3 linked regions of the Drosophila melanogaster genome follow. Changing the gene in region 3 together with the main gene of any one other region gives a genetic interaction. Each region holds a gene or a part of one and is shown on either strand. Other genes may lie near its edges.

The links. Genes that interact genetically often act in the same process or in processes that back each other up.
Region 1: of Prx2 (region 3) and gfzf, changing one suppresses a phenotype caused by changing the other (phenotypic suppression), as found in Drosophila melanogaster (one study listed by BioGRID).
Region 2: of Prx2 (region 3) and PPO1, changing one suppresses a phenotype caused by changing the other (phenotypic suppression), as found in Drosophila melanogaster (one study listed by BioGRID).

The regions. Positions count from the first base shown.
Region 1 is NT_033777.3:7,143,950-7,152,683, forward strand, and holds gfzf (GST-containing FLYWCH zinc-finger protein), read right to left. Parts: upstream 7,020-8,734; 5' UTR 6,682-7,019; coding exon 6,217-6,681; intron 5,684-6,216; coding exon 3,729-5,683; intron 3,430-3,728; exon of another isoform or gene 3,382-3,429; intron 3,144-3,381; coding exon 2,996-3,143; intron 2,935-2,995; coding exon 2,365-2,934; 3' UTR 1,931-2,364; downstream 1-1,930. Other genes in the region: CG14610 (uncharacterized protein), read right to left, coding at 1-232, 287-307; CG2656 (uncharacterized protein), read left to right, coding at 867-911, 974-1,632, 7,102-7,249; Sas-4 (spindle assembly abnormal 4), read left to right, coding at 7,459-8,734.
Region 2 is NT_033778.4:17,885,290-17,891,937, reverse strand, and holds PPO1 (prophenoloxidase 1), read left to right. Parts: upstream 1-1,964; 5' UTR 1,965-2,037; coding exon 2,038-2,393; intron 2,394-2,450; coding exon 2,451-2,586; intron 2,587-2,655; coding exon 2,656-3,150; intron 3,151-3,224; coding exon 3,225-3,858; intron 3,859-4,015; coding exon 4,016-4,268; intron 4,269-4,327; coding exon 4,328-4,526; 3' UTR 4,527-4,718; downstream 4,719-6,648.
Region 3 is NC_004354.4:13,326,430-13,333,570, forward strand, and holds Prx2 (peroxiredoxin 2), read left to right. Parts: upstream 1-3,394; 5' UTR 3,395-3,535; exon of another isoform or gene 3,536-3,601; intron 3,602-3,969; exon of another isoform or gene 3,970-4,250; intron 4,251-4,589; exon of another isoform or gene 4,590-4,692; coding exon 4,693-5,277; 3' UTR 5,278-5,565; downstream 5,566-7,141. Other genes in the region: IP3K2 (inositol 1,4,5-triphosphate kinase 2), read left to right, coding at 919-1,168, 1,237-1,505, 1,722-1,832, 1,959-2,336. UniProt on the Drosophila melanogaster protein: Thiol-specific peroxidase that catalyzes the reduction of hydrogen peroxide and organic hydroperoxides to water and alcohols, respectively.

The sequences.
Region 1 (8,734 bases), on a different chromosome or scaffold from region 3:
GGACCAGGACTTCAAAGTGGCAGGACTCGTACTTCGGGTGCTCCACAAGAAACTCTGCGCACTTCTCATAGATGTCCACGCACTGCATGGACTTATTTTCGCTCTTCATGAAGTGCCTTAGGATCTTTCGGGCCTCCGCGTCATCCAGGATTCTTCCGACACTGTTCGAGAGCGCGTATATCCTTTCCGCCTCGCAAAGTTTCATGTTCTCCATTAGTTCTTCATAACTTTGCTGCAGTTTTGTAAAAGTTTTATTTATTTCATTTTTAGTAATTCATTAGCGAACCTTTTCCGAACTGGGTGCCATGCTTGAGTAATAATTTCAAAATAAAAACAGTTGAAGTGTATAGGCTGCCCCTTTTATAGTCTCGTGGGCTGCTCAGCTTACTAAATTTTCGGACCTTTATCTTTTATAACTCATAATTTTTTCGGAGCCATAAACTTTGCGCATTGAATCATCAAATCATAGTCTCATAATCATCTATTTTAGAATTACAAAAATGTGTGATTATTGTTTTTAAAGAAGTTAATCTAAGTATTAACTTAATATAATATAGAAATACTTGTTTCAGGCATATTTAAAGGAAAATAAATCGAAATAAATAAGAGCTTTCAAATAAACTTAAGGGAAGCTGCTTCCTTATTGTTCCTTCCATTTACTGTATAACGTTTTCGCGTACCTAATGCTGTTTGAATTTTAGATTCTTGGCGGGCCACATGTAGTGCTGCCAACCTATTCGAGGCGAATATTAATCGTGCAGAGTTTGTACGTTGTGCAGCACTACAGCTGGCGCACGCTATGCCTCACATTAGAATTTGTTTTGTTGCGGAATTTAGGTACTGAAAATAACTTACGACTCATTATCATGCGGTTTGCCCAAATAATTGTGGGCCCGGCAGGCAGTGGCAAGGTATGTCCACAAAAACGGCAGCCGATGCGCGCCATTAATCTAACACACAATATTCTCCCCAGTCGACGTACTGCAGCTTAATGCAGCAATATGCGATGGACTGCAAGAGAAATGTTCAGGTGGTGAACCTCGATCCGGCGGCAGAGCACTTCACCTACAACCCGCTGACGGACATTCGCGATCTAATCCACCTGGACGATGCCATGGAGGACGAAGAGCTGCACTACGGACCGAACGGCGGCCTCATCTTCTGCCTGGAGTTCTTGATCGAGAACCAGGAATGGCTGAAGGAACAGCTCTGCGGCGGCGAGAACGAGCTGATGGTGGGCGAGCCGGATGATGACTACATCCTGTTCGACATGCCCGGCCAGATCGAGCTCTTCACTCACCTAAAGATGGGCAGACAGCTGGTGGAACTGCTCGAGTCCTGGAACTTCCGCACATGCGTCGTCTTCTGCTTGGACTCGCAGTTCATGGTGGACGGGGCCAAGTTCATTTCCGGCACCATGGCCGCGCTCAGTGTGATGGCCAACATGGAGCAGCCGCACATCAATGTGCTGACCAAAGTGGATCTGCTGAGCAGCGATGCGCGGAAACAGCTGGAGATGTACCTGGAACCGGATGCCCACAGTCTGATGGGCGAGCTGACCATCGGGACTGGTTTTGGCGAGAAATACGCAAAGCTTACGCAGGCTATTGGCGCGCTAATTGAGGATTTCAGGTGAGCTAATCAATTATAATTAATTGATACTTAAATCGGTGGTAGCGGAGTGGAGTTTTACTGAGCATTTTACAAAAATTACAGTCCAAAAAATCCAAAAGTTAATTACATTTGAAGAGAGACTATTGTAAGCGATTAGCCGCAGAAAATACACGAAAAAGTCGACTATGGTTGTTAATATTTTCGTTTTAGTTAGTTCGATTTAATCACCAACATTATGATTTTATTAACATCGGTAGGTTTTTTATCAGAAGATTTTTTAATACAATCATATCAAAGGAAACACATTTTTGGTTTTATCGAAATGTTTTATTTTAAATGATAAACACAGGTTGATTAGTCCTTATAATAACCAAGGTTGATTTAAAGGGATTCTTGCCATAAAATAACTTCAAATTGTTAGCAAGAAATGATAATATTTTCTAATAAGACAAAAATAATGGAAATATGTATTTTGTTGAAAAAATTTAAGCTTGACCTCCAGTTCGACTTGCAATTTCAATCGCATAAAATTTTGTGGGCACATTTTAATACTATTTTTTCTTAGACTTCTGAACTTCTTTGTTCATGTCAATTTGGAAGGCAAAACAACCTATAATTATATATTATTATATAATTATGTTATTATTATTATATCAATATATATATATATATCGAATATTTCACAAGAATTAAAAGGAGAACGTTTTTCACTTCCCTTGCTGGCAGGGTCTTAAGTTCTAAAACTACAATCTACAACTTCAGGCCCATAGACTTGCGCGTCGGATGGAATGGGTGTTCCATGTGTGACATATCCGGTGGGTTCTGCTCAAACGCACTTATCTCCTGCATGCCGCTGTTGGCGATCTCCCACAGCTGCGGGTATTCCACCTTGAAGGTTTCGTACCACTTGTTCACCAACGTAAACTGGTGCAAGTCAAAGTTAATTGCCTCCAAGCAGATCGTGGCCGAAATGAGAGCGAAGTCTGCAATGGTTATGTTCTCGCCTGCCGCGTACTTAGTGCCCAGTCGCTGCAAATAGGTTTCGAACACATCAAGTGCGTTCTGCACCTTCTTTAGCGACATGGGCGTACGTTTGTAGTCGAAGAAAATGGGCGCCATGCTGTGGGCGGATATGGGGGCATAGTAGAATCCCATGTTAAAGCATAGCCGCTGATTGATTACTGCTCTCACATTGACGTCCTGCGGATATAGCGTTGAATCCGGCGCGTACTTGTCGCAGAGGTATTGCATAATGGCAATGCTCTCCGATAGATAGAAACCGTCGTCGTCCAGCACGGGTATCTCCTTTTGCGGATTCATCTGCAATGATTTGAATTTTTAATGACTTGAAAATCAAATTCATGACTCCATATGCACATACCTTCGAGTACTCCTCAGAGCGATGTTCCATGGCGCAAAAGTCCACATTGATGAGTTGATATTGTATATCCAAGGCCTTCAGGGTCATGCGAACGGCCAGGGAAGGCGGACCATCGGATACGGCGTAGAGTTTCATTGTGTAGATGGGTCTGTGGGTACACAGCGATCGTTAGTTTTGTGTATTTGTCTCTTGTTCGACCGGTTTGCTTGTAGCTTAAAAGTGAAAGCAATTTGCCTCTACTGTCTATTTTCTATATATCTATATATATATTTGGTTTAATTATTGCTGATGCTGTCTGTATTCAGTGTGTATTCTATCGCAAAAATTCTGTCAAAGAATTTCTGGGCTTTTTAAGAAATATTTTTAAATACTGAATAATAACAAACCCAAAATTAATGTTGTACGTTCGAGCAGCTTTCAAACCATACTGATGTGCTGAATTAACTTGCCAGATATTGCAGGTGTTCATTTCAATGACAATCCAAACTTGTTTTGCGTTTGAAAGGCATTATGCTAACATAGGTTCGCAAATACTCTGCCTAATTTGTCGACCCTTAACAGTCACGAATTCTTTATAATGAATCGAGGCTATGAATATTTGTTTCGAATAAGGGTAGGTGTTGTAAGTGTGCCAAAAGTTCTATCTCATTGTTAGTGTTCTTGTTTTTATTCATGCAAGTACGTTTTTTAAAAAGATTGTTATGTTTTCTTTCTTTCGGGATGGTATACATACACAATAGAGCCGTAGCTTTCCATTTCATCGGCTACTTCCTCGACAACCTCAATGATCCCATCTGTGTTGTCCACATCCATGTATTGTTGATCGCCCTCCATGGTCATTTCGACGCCTTCCTCTTGCTCCTGGTACTCTTCCTCCACGATAACAACATCATCTTCCTCATGGTGAGAGTCCGCTCTGTGGGACACGGATAATGATGCAGATCTGCTATTATTACTGCCGCTAACTCGAGGCTTCTTGTGAACCACAATGTCGCTGCTGATATTAGACACATTCAGGCGCTCGATGGCCAAATCACCATACTCCTGCTGAATCTGATCCAACGATTTGCCGATAAAGTGCAGCGGCCGAAACTTTAGGTTCTTGTTGTTCTTCTTGTTGATCTCGTTGTAGAGTCTCCGCTTGATGTCGTCCTCGCTGAAAGGATGGCTATGACTGTTGTAAACACGGAGCACACGAATAGAGCCATCCTTTTGGGTGGCCGTCGAGATGCGGCTCTTGCAATTGATGTCCGGATCGCGGCTTTTGATGCACACCCAATAGTTGCGCGAGATGACGCCACGGTTCTTGGCATGGTATATATAGCCATCGACGCACAGCAGTTCGTGCCCCTTGGCAGATCTCAGGGTACAAATCTTTGAGAGGTCCATGTCCGGCTGGGCGCCCTTTGCTGGCTCTGCTACATCGCGTCGCCTACGAATATTCGTGATCTGCGGCTGTCGAACTTTCGGCAAAGGTGTGGATGAATAAGCAGTGTGTGAATGTGGGTCGAGCTCATCTAGTGCGTCGGGCAGTATCTCGATCTTGGCGCTTATGTTGTTCGCTCCGTCCTTAAGGTACTGCACTATCATGTTCGCTTTCGATTCTGGTTCCATTTTGATGGCGCCATCGATGCTAATCACCTTCTTCATAACCACATTACGCGTGTCAATGTGTCCGTAGCTTTCGTCGACGCTGTTCTCCGCCTCGAAGGTATCGCCTCCCTGGCTGGCCGATCCCTCATCGCTTTCGAAACTGATCTCTTCAGAGTGCTCGATCTTTTGCAGCTTGTGCACATTGTCCTGATCCAGCTTGGCCTGCTGCTTTAGCCGGCGAGCAATTTCTTTTATATCCGGATTGTGCGTGTGCTCCCCATTGATTCGAAGCACTACTGGTCCGTTTTCAACCGGGTCTAGGGTAATGCGGACGTGACAAGTGTTGGCCTTGTCGCGTCGGTTTATGCATGTGAAGAACATGTGGCCGTTTGACCTGCTTTGCGAGTCGAAGTGGAACAGATGCTGACTCAAGCACAGCACCTTTCGACCCTTGGCCGATGGTAGAAATGTGAACTTGGTCAAGTCGGTTTCCGTGAGTGGATTGTGGCTCGGCGGCGGCAGATAGTTGGCAATTACGTCGAATGCCGCTGGCCACTTGGAGCTGTGATGCATTTTCGGGTCCACCAGCGAAGACTCGTCATCCCCTTCCTGGCTCTCGAGCTCTTCGCTGCCTTGAATCCCTCCACCTTGGCTTCCGTCCGTTCTCATGTATATATCGTAGTTATCCTCGCACTCCTCGATTATTATGGATTCCAAGTCATCGCCCCGCTGAGCTGTGTCGAAAGTGTTTTCCGGATCGAAGTACTCAAGATTGGGGCACTCTGCCAGCACATCAGAGGTATTTTCGTCCTCCACCAACACGATTTGGTGCTTCGAAAACATGTGCATCAGCTTGGCGGCCGAGTAGTGCGGATGAATGTGCGCATCCGTGTCGACGGCATGCAGGCGATGTGCCCCCGCCAAAGTCGCCTCCGTGCAGATCCTGGCCGTGCACTCAATGTCACGCTTGCGCACACAGGTCCATCGGAATATGTCGCCCTTGTAGGATTTCCCGGCCAGGTAGTACAGATGCCCGTCGATGCAGACCATCACGCGGCCGTCGCGGCGCCGTAGCATGTACACACGATCCTTGTCCTGCGGAATTAGAGTTCGTGTTAGTCATTTTTGTGCTGTAAAATTGTATATGAATTAAAAATGGTACATCATGGGAAATCTATTTAGGTGTAAAATTAAGTTAAGTGTAAGTTCAAAAGTATTTCATTCCCTTGGATATTCCCTTCAGTAGGGTGCATGTTATAAAATGATTGGGTCCCATTTTTTTCAAAAATCCCTAATATTTAGTTTCGTTTGGAGATATATAGTATTTTTTGAATCATAAATGATTAAGCTTTGGTATTTATTGTCCTTTTAACGGCCTAGCCGGTGGATTTGCAAATAGGAAAATAAATATAAAAAACAAATTGGCGGGAAACCATCTCATTACTAAGGTGAGCAAATTAACCTTTTTTTTACATTATCAAATGTTCAAAGTAGCGGTGGTTACCGAAATATGAATCAATATTAATATCAATGTTCTTTCTGAAAAAGAGACCCAGCTAGATTCTAAATAAATGGTTGAGTTGAGTATTCAGGGGCATGAGCCAGGTACAGTTGGCCTGGGGCCGTACCTCAAAGTCCAACTGGAACGAGGCCTCCACGGTGGAGGTGTCGATGCTTCCGTAGATGAACTCCGGCGGATTCATGCCGGCGTTGGCGCGCTCGTACAGGCGTGCTCTCTTCGGCTGGGTGGTGCTGTAAGCGTCGTTCATCATCATTACGGAGAGCCGCTTGCGCTGGGCCACCTTGTTGACCTCGTGATCGCTGCAGCGCGGGTGGATGTGGGCCAGAACGACGTCCACGACGACGTGGCGCGTCTTGTCCAGCGGATCGGGCAGCATGGTGCAGATGCGGGACTTGCAGGGAGTGGACTTGTCCTTGCGCCTGTTGCACAGCCATCGGTAGGTGTTATTCCGCCCGATGCGATCGAAGTGGTACAGATAGTCGTCCACGCAGAGCATATCCACGCCCTTGGCGGAGCGCACCACGGACACCTTGGTCAGGTCCATGCCGTGCTCCTCGACGGGCGTCTCCATTTTTGAATTGGTGCGCTGTTTGGCCCGAGCCCGGAATTCAGCGTTTTTCGATTTGCCCTCGAAAAGTGTTTTGTATCGTAAATTAGGCGATTTTTTTAGTGGCTGGCTGCCTGGGATTTGTTGGTTGGGATTTTTGGTGGTATTTCGTCAGCTCACTATTTGCGCGCCTTTTTGCAAACGCCGGCCATTTACCCAAACGCACTGATTTATTGCAGTTTGATGCACTAAAAGGGTTTATATTTGGTTTTTATCACTCGATTTTAATTGCACAAGCACATTTTCTTTTGCGACGCGTCGAAAAATGCTTTTGTGTGGGATACGAGGGCTGCGAGCTATGCGGTGGCGTTGCCACTTATCAAAATCGGTTATTTTTGTGACGTTCAAAAATTGTAAATATTGATGTTTATTATTCACTTACAGTTTGGTGAGATTTTTCCCGTTGGATTCCCAGGACGAGGAGAGCGTGGGCGATCTTCTGCTACAAATTGACAGTATCTTGCAGTACGGCGAGGATGCAGACGTGAACGTTAAGGACTTTGATGAACCGGAGGAAGGGGATCAGGATTGAAAAAAATCAATTTTTCATATTGCTTAAGAAAATGTACAATATTTTATTTTTAATAAAAAATTAAATCTAATCAAAATGCATGTCTAGCACCATCCCTGACCGCAGAGTTGCCACTGGTACAGTGTTGGACAACTGCTGCCGTAATTTTAAATTCCCCTACGCGTACGGCGTCTAAACAAAACTGCGATTCTAAGAACGAATATAAAAGCATGCAGGAGGCTGGCGAAAGTCCTGTTGGAATGCCTCTGAGCCAGGAGGCCATCGCACAGCGTCTCGCGGCGCTTAGTCGTTGGCAGGACGAGCAGAAGCGGCTGCTGCAGGAGCGGCAGTCCAATCACCGCGTTTTGCTCGGCTTGGAGCAACGTAATATGTACAAAATGCTGGGACTGCTACACCAGGAAACGGAAAGCCATGAAAACAGTGTGCTGGAGGAGTGGGACGAGGAGCACTCTATACAAATGCCGCGACTCGCGGCGGATCCGGACGAGCACGAGCCAGAGATTTCAATGGCTGATCCCCAGCCGGCCAAGCCTAAACGCCCTTTTCTGCGTCGCGGCGAAGGTCTAAAGCAGCGGTTCAAGATCAATCCCGACCAGCTGCGCCTGGAAAACCTGCCGCGATACAAGTTCGCTAATGCCCACCCTCAGTTCCGCACGCCTCAAATGAAAAAGGGTATTCTCAAGAAGCAAGTCAAGTCACCTCCCAATCCTGCGCCTCCACCAGCTCCCAAACCCTCAGCACAGCTCGACGATCTCAACGAGCAGCGCTTTCAGCAGATGCTTATCGGCAAGAACGCCTGCAGTTCCACTCCAGATCTAAAGTCTTCCTATGCGTCCTCCACAACCGCCTCGAGCACCTCGCCCAGAGTTCGTTTTGTAGAGCAGAAGAGCAGGGCGGGACAAACCACTCATGCCGATGATGAAGCCTCCTCGGAAGCTAGTCCCATGACAGGAGTTTGCTGGGCCAAGGTGCTGGACACACAGAGTATAAAGCCAGCGCAAATCCAAAGACGCTCTGCTCAAATCCGAGTGGAAGATGACAGCAATGTAAGCATATTCGAGCTGCTCGAGCAGAAGGCCACTGAGGGAAACATTGATATGAACTCCAGCTGCATTCGAACCTTTATGGCGCGCAAAGATCAGCGTCGCCGAGTAGCTGATGACTCCGATCACATTGTAGTCACACAGCAGGTGCGTCAGATGCGATTGCAGCCACAGGTGGACCAGATGCTGGTGCAGGAACTGCAGGAGGGGGACGAGGAGGACACCGAACCGTCCAGCGATCAGACCCTCACAATGACACCCATCCAGGTGGGGAATACTAAAGTGCGAGTGCGTTTCTCCGACTCCAATGACACGCACGAGTACTCCGATGCCACCAGCCTCAACGACGGCTCCAATATTCAGCTCTTTGAACAGTTCAAGTCCGCCCTCTTCCAGGCATTGGAACAGAAGAAGAAGTCAAGTCCCAGCAAGGAGTCAGACG
Region 2 (6,648 bases), on a different chromosome or scaffold from region 3:
GAGATTAAACCAACAAGACCCACTCAATTTCGACACCCTTTTTCAAACCCTTTCCCTGTTCATGAAAGCCCACCCACATTAATGGAGCTGATAAGTTGCAAACAGATTAGAGCCATGAAACTTTAATCAGTTTGGTGCCCAAGTGGGCAAACAATTGAAAGCGTAGCCCACTCGAAATTTTGATAACACACTGCCGCAAATTCCTGCGGTTGGCCCACAACTAATGAATAGTTTGGAATGTTCTTTGGGGCGGAGGCATCATGTGTTTTCGAACCTGGCCGCAGAGTGCTTAAGCCAAAATGTAAAATTTAAGCCAGCGGGTAATTAACGCATACCCACAGCTCATTTTATGGACCAGACTTTCGCCCATAAAGCCAAACAGAAAGAGTGCTTGGCGCCTTTTACAAACTTGCGTGGTTTTTAAGACTTGTTGGTAAAAGTTTGGGTTTTTTCCTTTTTTTTTGTTCTGTTTCGCCGGTGAAAGCAGGCTCTGCACGTGTCCTGGCCTAAAGCTTTTGCTTTGGCCCATTTTCATTCTAATTCAATTCACACTGCCAAGTTCGCAGAAGCACACACTTTTCCACAATTTATAATTAATTAAAGCAAGTTTGTCTTTTGGGCTGGAATCTGGAGCACATTTGCCATGGCTGTCGTTGAATATTCAATGAAAAATTACATTGCTCGGATAAATGTTTGCGTGCAGTCAAGTGTTTTCTAGGAAAAGCCAACTTCAATATACTCTGCAATATATTACTATATTACATACATAAGTGGTATGCATGGTTTAAAAGAATCTACAAAAAATCGTATAAAATATTCTTGCCTAAGTTATTTCAAACAAAAATTCAATTGATGGTAGTCAAATTTGGCTTACATTGCTTACCGTACATAGTTCATAAACTGAAAAGATGGTGTATCTGCTGGAACATCGACATTAGCAAAACAAAGTCGAGCAGAAAAGTCATTTTCATGTTGTTATGGCCAGAGTGCAGAAATTGTGAAAATTCATCTTTTCAATTTTCGCCCGAAACCCGCACATTTATGCAAACTTGTTACGCTCGTTTTTGTTGCTGTCAATTTCACAGATTAATGCGCACACATTTCAACGCCAAAGTCGGCAGAAACATTTATTATTGACAATGGCCAAAAGTTTGGCCATTCGCTTTGCTTTTTGGCCAACATCGTTCATTTGGCCAGACGGCGTAGCGACAAAAATTGATTTACAGTATAGATATTTTAATCATCCAAGCTCTCTTGCCAGTTAGTTCTTAGTTACATTCAGCTACACACTGCCATTTCAAAAACCAAATTTATGGGCCATGTCGAAGGACGAGCCCTCTGCTCCAAGCCAAATTTATGGCCTCCCATTCGGCGATGGGCGGTTCTTTTTAAGGGGGCGTGGCAGCCTGTTGAGCAAGTATTCGGTGTTATTTCTATGCGAATAAGAAGCTTTTCCGGTGGCCTTCGGCTTGTTTACTTTGGGAGTTGTATTTCGCGTGGTCGCAAAAAGGTTTCTCGGATACTTTTTCGGCAAAGACAAAGAAATTCAATTTAAGCTTCCTACCCCGGAACTAATAACTCTTCAAAAAGTTGAAAACAATTAATTGGTTGTGGGTATACATTAGGCAGTGCAGTATTGAAAAAAAATCAGTATATGTATCTAACAAGCTCAATACAGTTTCACGTTTAACAACATTCAACTGAAAATCAACAATGGTATATTATTTTATGCAAGCAATTAAAAGTATTTCTCTTATCATTTTGCGGCTCAACAACTTTTGCGGTATTGCACTTTTTGCTTTTTCAGAAGCTATCGACTAAACCACAACGTTTGGATTTGTGAGAAAAAAGGCTCGACCATTGCAGTTTTGCGGTTGGGACTTGATAATGAATATTTTTAAAAATATTATTTTTATATTCGGACTGCTAGTTAGCTATAAAATGAGTTCGGCTTCCTGGGAAAATCACAGTTCTGCAACTGGCTTCGTTGAGTGAAGTTAAAAGTGTAGTTGAAAGTGTACATCCATAGAGAAAACCATGACTAACACGGATCTGAAAGCCTTGGAACTTATGTTCCAGCGACCCCTGGAACCGGCATTCACCACTCGTGACTCCGGAAAAACTGTATTGGAACTGCCCGATTCCTTCTATACGGATCGCTATCGCAATGACACCGAGGAGGTGGGCAATCGATTCTCTAAGGACGTGGATCTGAAGATCCCAATTCAGGAGTTGAGCAACGTTCCCAGTCTGGAGTTCACCAAAAAGATTGGTCTCAAGAATCAATTTTCGCTGTTTAACAATCGCCATCGTGAGATCGCCAGCGAGCTGATCACCCTCTTCATGAGCGCACCAAATCTCAGACAATTCGTGTCGCTTTCCGTTTACACCAAGTAAGTACTTGTACTAAAATAAATATATATGTATTGTATAATGTATTAATTTTTTAGGGATCGTGTGAATCCTGTGTTGTTCCAATACGCCTATGCCGTCGCCGTTGCCCATCGCCCGGATACGCGTGAAGTGCCCATTACCAACATTTCCCAGATCTTTCCGAGCAACTTTGTAGAACCTTCCGCCTTCCGGGTTCGTTTAAGTTCTTCTTTATTTGACCAATCAAAGTCTTTAATGGTGTATTTATAAATTTGACCACAGGATGCCCGTCAGGAAGCTTCTGTTATTGGAGAGAGCGGCGCTCGTGTCCATGTGGACATTCCGCAAAACTACACGGCCTCGGATCGCGAGGATGAACAGCGCCTGGCGTACTTCCGTGAGGACATCGGTGTTAATAGCCATCATTGGCACTGGCACTTGGTCTACCCGACCACCGGACCCACGGAGGTGGTCAACAAGGATCGTCGTGGCGAGCTCTTCTACTACATGCACCACCAGATACTCGCGCGCTACAATGTGGAGCGCTTCTGCAACAATCTGAAGAAGGTTCAGCCGCTGAACAATCTGCGTGTGGAGGTTCCCGAGGGCTACTTCCCCAAGATCCTGTCCAGCACGAATAACCGCACCTATCCCGCCCGAGTGACCAACCAAAAGCTGAGGGACGTGGACCGCCATGATGGGCGTGTGGAGATCTCCGATGTGGAGCGCTGGCGTGATCGCGTGCTGGCTGCCATAGATCAAGGATACGTTGAAGATGTGAGTTGGGCCCGTTTGGAATATTGAGCATAGGTCATAGAAAGCACTAGAAATTTTTATTTGCTAATCCATAGTCTTCTGGCAATCGTATACCATTGGACGAAGTTCGTGGCATCGATATCCTGGGCAACATGATTGAGGCATCGCCAGTCCTATCCATCAACTATAATTTCTATGGCAATCTACACAACGAGGGGCACAACATAATCTCCTTTGCCCACGATCCCGATTACCGTCACTTGGAGGAATTCGGTGTGATGGGCGATGTGACCACGGCCATGAGGGATCCAATCTTCTACAGGTGGCACGGATTCATCGACACGGTGTTCAACAAATTCAAGACTCGCCTGAACCCGTACAATGCCGGTGAGCTTAACTTCGATGGTATTACCGTGGACTACATTGAGGCCAAGATTGGCAAGTCCAATACCAAGGCCAACACCCTGTTGACCTACTGGCAGAAGTCGAGTGCCGACTTGGCAGCTGGCCTGGACTTTGGACCAACGACCGATCGCAACATATTCGCCTCGTTCACCCATCTCCAGAATGCCCCCTTCACTTATACATTCAATGTGACCAATAATGGAGCCAGACGAACGGGTACTTGCCGTATCTTCATCTGCCCCAAGGTGGATGAGCGTAATCAGGCTTTGAATCTGGAGGAGCAGCGACTGTTGGCCATCGAAATGGACAAGTTCACAGTTGATTGTGAGTAATAACTGTATTTCTTAGTATATATATTTATTTAATATTTTGGTATTTAAAAAGTGTTTCTTTCGTACAAAGCTAGCCAGTGATTTTAGCTTATACTTTTCCCTACTGACAACCTCCTACGATCTATTAACATACTTTAATTAATCCCCAGTGGTGCCTGGTGAGAACACCATACGCCGCCAGTCGACAGAGTCCTCGGTGGCCATTCCCTTCGAGCGCTCATTCCGCCCGGTTGGAGCAGACTATCAGCCCAAGGCCGCCGATGAGTTGGCACGCTTCAAGTTTTGCGGATGTGGGTGGCCACAGCATCTCCTGCTGCCCAAGGGCAATGCCCAGGGAATGGTCTTCGACCTGTTCGTCATGATTTCCGATTACTCGCAGGACTCCGTTGAGCAGCCCAAAACGTGAGTGCTATAAACCCAATTTCCCATCATCAGCTGACATTCTCCTTGTCGCCCATTAGACCCAACGATGCCTGCAGCACGGCGTACTCGTTCTGTGGTCTGAAGGACAAATTGTATCCTGACAGACGCACCATGGGCTATCCCTTCGATAGGCGCCTGCCCAATGCCAATCTCACCGAATTGGTCGGTGCCTTTGGCAACATGGCCAAGACCGATTTAAGGATTGTCTTCAATGATCGTGTGATTGACAAGGCCTAGATGATTGCTCCAACTAACAGAGATGATTTTAAGAATCAATGGAAACGGACTTGAAAACGGAAAACTCTTGGAATCATATACACTTTTTGCTATTAACTTATAACTAACCAAACTTGTGCGCGTTTATGTGGTGTTTTATCGTTTCTAATTACACTCTACAAAAATAAATGTATTGTAATATGTGCAGGCAGTAATACAAGCGAGTATTGACACCTAATGAATGCAGTGGGTAGATAGCTTTAGCCAAGAAACTTTTGGTAAGCTTATAATGTATCTAATAGTCCCAATTTACCACCCGGGGAGACCAAAGAATTTTACAGATTTTTATTTATTACTTTTTCAAGGCAAAACAGAGATTACTCGTTTTCGTTGGCCTCAAGCAAGCCAGCCATGGATATGATAAATATTTACTGATATAAGAAATCCTCGTCTAGGAATATTCGCATGCCAAATATTTGCTTAGCAATATTGAATATTATTTATAGCAAAGAAATACAGATACACAGCCGCAGAAGGGCGTTTATTTGTCATAGACAGACACGCCCACATTTGTGCGAACTAATCCTATTAGACTTCAAAGCGCCTTGCTCGACAAACTTTGCGATTGCCCATGTCCAGGAGGCCTTGGCGTTCCATCCACCCACCAAGTGTTGAGGGAAAATAGAAAAAACATCCTCGCAAAACAGCCAACAAAATCGCTGCACGTGTTGCGTTTATTAATTTTTGGCTTTTACCAAGTCGACGGCCTTAATTAAGCATCCACTAGATGTGGATAAAGTTCAAGACTTTGGATTAGCGCAGCACAACAGCTGTCTCAAACAAATTGATTTTTAATAGATTTTTATGGCTGCCTTATCTGGCGCCACATGACGTATACGTGATGAAATTGAGTTTCCGACTGCAATCATCAGAGGTGGAAGGCATGTGCAATCTCTAATTGGATTGATTTGCAGAAAGAAATGTAGGAAAAAGTTCCAACTCATGATTATGTACCTGCGGAGCACGCGTACGTCTAAAATACACACATATTCAAATCAAAATCGAAATGAAACTCATAACAACAACAAATAAAACGGCTACATTTTATATTATCTGCCGCAAATACGAGTTCAATGCGCCCAAACAAAAAACTGAAAGCTAATGTTGACAAGACACGGCCACGCAATTTAATCTCTTTTGTTGCCTGGAACAGGACTTTTTCATTTTTATTTCTTTTCAAAGTTGCATATTTTATGACCGTATTTTTGTGTGTACTGCAACTGGTGTAAACTTTCAGCAGAATTCAAATTAAATTACAGCAGAGCGGACAATTTGCGGAGAAGGCGTTTTTGGCTTTGAGAGGATTTAAGTAAATATCCCCAAGGAAAGTAAATACACGTTTGAGCGTTATAAAAGGTTATTATGGTCGAAACGAAAGGCAAACGAGAGATGGGTGAGTTAGACTGGCCCACAGCTTTTTTTTTATCACTTCTTCCTTTTTTTCAATCATTAGATCCTGGCCACAGGACTTTCCCACTCACTTTCCTTGCATTTATTTATGCGGGTAAATTGTAGAAAAATTAAAAAAATAGACAAAAATACGGAGCAAGGCAAAAAGTTGCCGAGTCCCTTTAATTTATTTTCGTTGCTGCGGGGCAAGAAATTTTGCTGTTCTTCCCTCTTTTTTTTTCTGTGGCAAAGCAAAAAGCTGCCACTTAGGCATAACTTTGGCTTTAGCTTTGGGTCGTTTTTCCCATATGCTGTTTGCCATTAATGTTGTTGCTGAGTTTGCCTCCGTTTTTGGTTTAAGGGTTTGAAAAAATATTTGCCCCGGTTACTTGGCATATTAGCATACTTTTTCCCACCCAGCGCACATGTGTGTAATAATTGTAAATAATGGTTTTGAAAAGAGTTTGGCGCTGATTAGGGTAACAAATGTTACAAATGTTAAAAGCATTAGTAGTAAGGCAATGTTCCAATGCAAATTTAAACACATTTTTGTACACTGCAGTCGATCTGCGCAATTGATTGCTTAATTTCTGTGAAATTTCAATTCAATCAAATGTGAAGCCCATTAAAAAGTCAATCAGACGTGAATGCAAAGCAGCCAAACAAATTGACGTAGAAGGCTATTGTGTAAACC
Region 3 (7,141 bases):
TGCAGTTTGGCCTTCGCCCAGGCCCATGGGATTCGCCAGCGAGCGGAGAAGAAGCTATCGATGCCGACCATTAGCATTACGGCCAATTCGGGTGAGCATGTGGCCCACAATTGTGGCCTGCGCTTGAATTTGGGCCGCAAGCTGTCGCAACAGCATTCGCTGCCCCTGGGCTCACCCACCTCGCCAGCATCGCCAACGAGCCCGGGACCACGACGATCGCATTCGCCATTGGGCCAAAGTCTGTGTCCCGGCTACATTCAGTACTCCAAGTCGCTGCTGGAGGTGCCCATGCCGCGGGACTATGGCTACGCCAGCAGCGATGATCTCAGCTCCGAATGGGACTCGGATGTGTCGACCTCGGCGGCTGGCTCGGCAACGGGATCGGGATCGGGTGCCGCATCCCAAGCCAGCACCACCGGCAAGAAGGTAGGATGGGTAGTCCGATAAAGATATAGGATCTATCTCAGGATCTAATAATATAGTTTAAGTTCTTTGAAAGGGTTTGTATACATCATACATTATATTAGTTATTAGTATTCGACTTGAACAACTTTAAGTACTAAATACAACCAAATTTATAGATCAAAAACAAGTTGGTGTATCCACGTGATTTTTCCGCTCGTGTTTTCACATGTGATCGAGTGATAACAACTCAGCTGAAAAATCAGGGCACAAAAATGGGTCATTAGCCAGCTGTCTCATGCAAACTGTTTCATTTCCAATAAACAAACAAAACTTAATTAGTGGAATGCATTATTAGCGAAATGTAGCAACAGTCTGTAACATTATTATGAGCTATTTACTAATTGATTTAACGTATTATTCTCGCAGACTTTGCACACTTGTATTATAAGAATTAAAAATGCTGATTTTTCTAGCATCATCTTGAGTTAATCGATTTACCCACGATTCTTGCAGAGCTCCGGCTGGCGAAAGATTCGCAACATCGTTCAGTGGACGCCCTTCTTTCAGACGTACAAGAAGCAGCGCTATCCATGGGTTCAACTGGCCGGACACCAGGGCAACTTCAAGGCAGGTCCCGAACCGGGCACCGTGCTCAAGAAGCTCTGTCCCAAGGAGGAGGAGTGCTTCCAGATTCTCATGCACGATCTGCTTAGGCCCTATGTGCCCGTTTACAAGGGTCAGGTGACCAGCGAGGATGGCGAACGTGAGTGAAACGAATTGTGATTATCCTTGCTAACTAATCTAACTGATATAATCGTGTGGCACAAACAGTTTACCTGCAGCTGCAGGATCTGCTCAGTGACTATGTGCAGCCATGCGTCATGGACTGCAAGGTGGGTGTGCGCACCTATCTGGAGGAGGAGCTGTCCAAGGCCAAGGAGAAGCCCAAGCTGCGCAAGGATATGTACGACAAGATGATCCAAATCGACAGCCACGCTCCCACCGCCGAGGAGCACGCAGCCAAGGCGGTGACCAAGCCACGTTACATGGTCTGGCGTGAGACCATCTCCAGCACGGCCACGCTGGGATTCCGCATCGAGGTGGGCTTGAATTTGAATTGAATCTATTCCATTTAAACTTGAATAGCCAACCCAAAAAAACGAAACCACTAAATTAACATACGACTATGTGAATGAGAAGCGTGTGCAAAGTGCCAGGCTACACATTTATCCTTAAAGTCAAATGTAAACATTAATTATTCATTCAGAAAAGTTAATGGAAAGCCATTAATTTAATCGTCTAAACATCATTCGCAGGGCATCAAGAAGAGCGATGGCACCAGTTCCAAAGATTTCAAAACGACGAAGTCACGCGAACAAATCAAGTTGGCCTTTCTCGAGTTCCTCAGCGGTCACCCACATATTTTGGTGGGTATTCAAATTAGCCAAGCATGCCCAGTTGAATGCCATTAACTTGGGGATTCCCTGCGCTTGTCATTACTTTTTCTTTTCTTTTTATTTTATTTTCTTTTCTTTTTTTTTTTTTGCATACAGCCCCGCTACATACAGCGTTTGCGAGCCATAAGGGCCACCCTTGCGGTCTCGGAATTCTTCCAGACCCACGAGGTTATCGGCAGCTCCCTGCTCTTCGTCCACGATCAGACCCACGCCAGCATATGGCTAATTGATTTCGCCAAGACGGTGGAGCTGCCGCCGCAGCTGCGGATCGATCACTACTCCGCCTGGAAGGTGGGCAACCACGAAGATGGCTATCTCATCGGTATCAACAATCTCATTGATATCTTTGTGGAGCTGCAGGCATCCATGGAGGCGGAGGCGCATGCGCAAGCGCAGGCGGAGGCCATTCAGTCACCCGTTTCTGGTTCTGGAGGAGATCAAGCGGAGCAGACGGGTGAAGAGAGCAAACCCTAATGGGAAATCCATACATTTCCACACGGAGGTTTGGGGCTGGGCCCCGGAGACAAAGACATTTCCAATTTCCGAATCGATTAATCCCCAATTCCTAGGCTTAGTTATACATTTTTTTTTTGTTTTTTTCTAACAGTTTGCGTACATTTAACCCCTTAAGTTTAAAATCAAAGACTGAAATCACAATATGCATACACATATTTTTTAATATATACGATATACGCGTACATATACATATATAGAAGATATATAGCCTGGCCTATATGTGCTGCTGCTGCTGCTGTAGTGTAATTTATTTATCCAAAACAAAAAAAAAAACAAAAAAATTCACGTTTGGCGAATCCTAGAGATACCCGAATGGCTGGAGATAATACCCACAAGGCAGTTGCAACTGTCGATCGTAACGATACGAAAAGTAACTAAGAAATGAACACACCCAACACGCAACAAGAGCTTAGACTAAGTTTTTAATATAATGGTTATGCGACTACCTACTAAATACTACTAATTGTGCACTATTAAATTCAGTTAAAACAAAACGAAAAAACGAAAGTACTTGTTTCAATTTATTTGTGGAGATTTGTGGACCACAGAATAGCATAATACATAGAAAATATTATTTGCGCCAAAGTGGAATAGAAATGGTTATTATAAACAGGAATCAGTTCTTTAACTACATTATTTATAATGGAAGAATTAAAAAAAAGCGCGGTTTTTTCATTTTGGCGGCAAAATGACGACCAGTGTGACCGTTAAGCTGGTGTGCCCGAATTATACTAAAAGTACTGCTCAGTACATATTATTACACATTATTTATTATTAGTAGTAGTACTTGTTTCCAAGTCTATCAAAAGTTATTAAGCGCTACTATCTTAAAACTTGAATATTAAAACTTACCATTTAAAATGTAGAATCCACTTTTGAAAAGCACGCCAATAGTTGATAGATGGCGCTTTAAGCACTTGCTAAAAAATATCGATGAGCAGCGTTAATCGGCGCTGCCTATCGCAAGCGGTATCCGTGTTGCGGCAGCCCTGGTCGACCAGCATTCGCTTAATTTCAATCCATTCGCGAATTTCAACTCGTGCCGAAAGGTTTGTTTGTGCGAAAGCTGAAGCTGCGAGAGAACGAACAAGAGGAAGCCCACGCGGAAGTCAAGCAATTACCGAGAATTACTAAGAGAAAAAATATAACTGTTTAAAGTGAGTGTTCCTTGGGCGATGAACAGGTCGCTCATTCTGGGCAAAGTCGGCGAGAAATTGCGGAGCGTAAGATTAGAAATTAGCATCGCTGTTGTTGCTGTTGTTGTTCTTTTTCGATGAGCAAAAGATAATGATGTTCATGTTCGGTCGGCAGATTCGAGATTATTTCACAACTTTTTGCACCGAGAGCATAGTTTTTTTCTTCACATTTCGTTCTTTTTTTTCCACTTTATTGGCACGTCCGTCGCACACACTTACACACACACGTACACGCGAAGAGCCGGCGAAAAAAAGGGCACAAAAATGAAATCAAAACTAGAGGAAAATATTTGCCAATTCAGAAATAAGTTTGTGATTTGTAATTAATTCGCATCCATTACATGAAATACGCGAACGTGCCGACAGTTCAATAAATTCAATCGCATAAATGGGAGCAGTCGAAAAATTTGGCTAATTTATTATTCCGGGTTTCTTCCATTTCGCTTCGCTCGGCGGCCATTTTGTAGAGTTCAGCTTTTCTACTCTCCTCTTTGATCTTTCCAGTTTGTGGCGAAATATCTGGAAGTCAAGGGTAATTGCCCTTAATCGTTAGTAATTGCCGCCATTAGAACTCCGATTTATAGAGACTTTTAGTATGGAATTAGCATCAAGTTAACTACTTTACAATTGAAAACCAATTGGAAGTTACATAGGCAAGATTAAAGGTTATAAAATAGTAAGTTTACTACAAAATAGGTATATTGCATATGAGAAATTTCAAGAATTTCGTAAATATTTCCAATTTTCATTCTAAGGGCCTAGCATAATATTGATTTCCCATCATAATACTTTAACAGTATCTATTCATATTAATTTCCATGATTTCACTAGCCTCTATAAATGCAATTTTTTTAAACAACGGTTATCTTGTAATAATCCGAGGTTAGAGTGATGAAATTTTTGTTTTTTGTGGGGCCCAAAAAATCTTGATAGATAAGATAAGATGCGTATCGGTCGAAAGAGGAAGTATCAGTCACAGCGAGATTTCAAGGGGACCATATGAGGGATTTACAATTGAAGTTCTCAAAAGAAGGCGACTAAGTTCAGAGCACTTTGTTGTTAATTATTCGCTAGTTTGAAGAAACATGTCTCTAATTCGCCATCCATTCATTGAACAGATGCCCCAGCTACAGAAGCCCGCTCCCGCATTCGCCGGCACCGCCGTCGTCAACGGTGTTTTCAAGGACATCAAGTTGAGCGACTACAAGGGCAAATACCTGGTGCTTTTCTTCTACCCGCTGGACTTCACCTTCGTGTGCCCCACCGAGATCATTGCGTTCTCGGAGAGCGCCGCCGAGTTCCGCAAGATCAATTGCGAGGTGATCGGTTGCTCCACGGACAGCCAGTTCACCCACTTGGCCTGGATCAACACGCCAAGGAAGCAGGGTGGTCTGGGCAGCATGGACATTCCACTGCTGGCTGACAAGTCGATGAAGGTGGCCCGCGACTATGGAGTGCTCGATGAGGAGACTGGCATCCCCTTCCGCGGCCTGTTCATCATCGATGACAAGCAGAACTTGCGCCAGATCACCGTCAACGATCTGCCCGTAGGTCGCAGTGTGGAGGAGACCCTGCGTCTCGTCCAGGCCTTCCAGTACACCGACAAGTACGGCGAGGTCTGCCCCGCCAACTGGAAGCCCGGCCAGAAGACCATGGTGGCCGATCCCACCAAGTCCAAGGAGTACTTCGAGACCACCTCCTAAAGAGGCTATCTGTTCGCTGAACGGGGCCGCTCCTGGCGAGTGGGAGTGGATTCGAATCGCAAACCCCCCGTTCAACTAAAACCAATACATATACTACATTATATATCCTACACATTAACCCTAGAGCGTAGAAGAAGAAGAAACTGTGAGGCATCTTTCCCTGCAACAGCGCCACCCAAAAATAAGATGATAAACACCTGCAGACGCTAAGCGGAAAGTGATTATTTTTTACGTATATTTTGTGTGCTTTTTTTTTTTTGTAATTCACCACAATAAACGATTGTACGGAGCACGTGGGTCTTTATCAGGGGGTGGCGGGCGGACTTTCGCCTCAAACCTCTGGTCTTATCATCCGGGGAAACATTTCCACAAAAGAAAAAAAAATGGAAAGAAATAGCAGCGGGCGACTTATCACCGTCTGCGACTGGCAATTGCGAAATTGCAAATAGACTGAATCAGAATGCCAGGAATGCTTCGCTGAAAGAAATGACGAGTGACTTGTGCACAGTATACAAATCTACATGTGATGTCTAATTAAACCCGGTTAATAATCTGTTAACATGTACTTGTAGTTACCTATTAGTTGTTCCACATATTCTGTAACTTTGTTACTTTGATGTGGCATTTTATTGCAGTGCAGACAACAGCTGTTGGATTGGTGACACAGTAACCGAGTGCACAATTCCCGTTTTGCCACCATCACCACCCATCCATTTCAATGTTAAGCGCAAGCGAGAGTCCTCTAGTCGACGTGGATGTCTCGCATATTAAACGGGTCTTGACTCTACCGGTATACCCAGATATATATGTATATAAATATATACGATCTGCCTGATTTGAACCCCCTTTTGTGATCGCAGCGTTTCAACTATTACGTGTAGTTCGCGTCGCATCCAACGAGGTGTCTTCGGCGTATCGGATCGAATCTCTTTCACCAGAACCAGTTCCTCCGGGTTATATACATACATACATTTGTACATTTTATCTGGCTATCTACATATGTACATGTGGCCCAGCAGCTGCGAGGCAGTTTATTTACTGCCCGTGGAACCTACTGGAAACAGAACCCTTTCTCAAAGTCAAGTGGTGCGATCTGATCGCTGCTGCGCACGTTACGTCGTTAGTTTTTTTTTGTTTGCCATTTTGTTTACTGAATCGGCCGGGCATAACCGACTTGGATGGCTCATAGCGACCACATTGGGCTCGCGCCATTATCATTATCAGTCTGCTAATTGCGCCCGTTGCCAACGGATACGATTACTCCAGTTCACACACAATGGTGGCCTAGCCATACATAATTGGTCCCTTACAATGGGACCTTACTGTTCGCACTTCTTGGTAACGCGCACAAAGAAAATTTCCAATTTCCAAAAAGAAAGGGCTTTAAAAAAAATGCATCAGGTACAACATGGCGTATGCGCAATATGTTGTTATGTTATTTCATTCAGGGATTCATTCTGATCCCTCTTATTAAGTGGCCTTCTTATGGCAAAAGTTGCAGAAAGAGCAATCCATCTTCGTGATGCCAGAAAGTGAGCACTTAAAGTTCGTTTCTACCTGAGCTCGCTTGCCAAGCTGTACAGAAAAACGCTCTATTCATATTGTTCATCAGTCGCAACAACAGCTGCAAAAAGAGATTGCTTCTGCTGAATCATGGCGGCCAAAGGCAGACCAAAGCGGCACAAAAGCTAGACAGCTACGTTTCTACAATAAATCCCAAGTCGGAGCCAGATTTCTATGCCGGTGACGGTTGACTCTCTATTGAGGGCGTTGCAAATGTCATTGTCGGTGACTTTCGATGGCTGTGATTCGAATTCACATAGCCATTTCCAATTCCCGGGTCCAGATCGATGATTATTGGTTG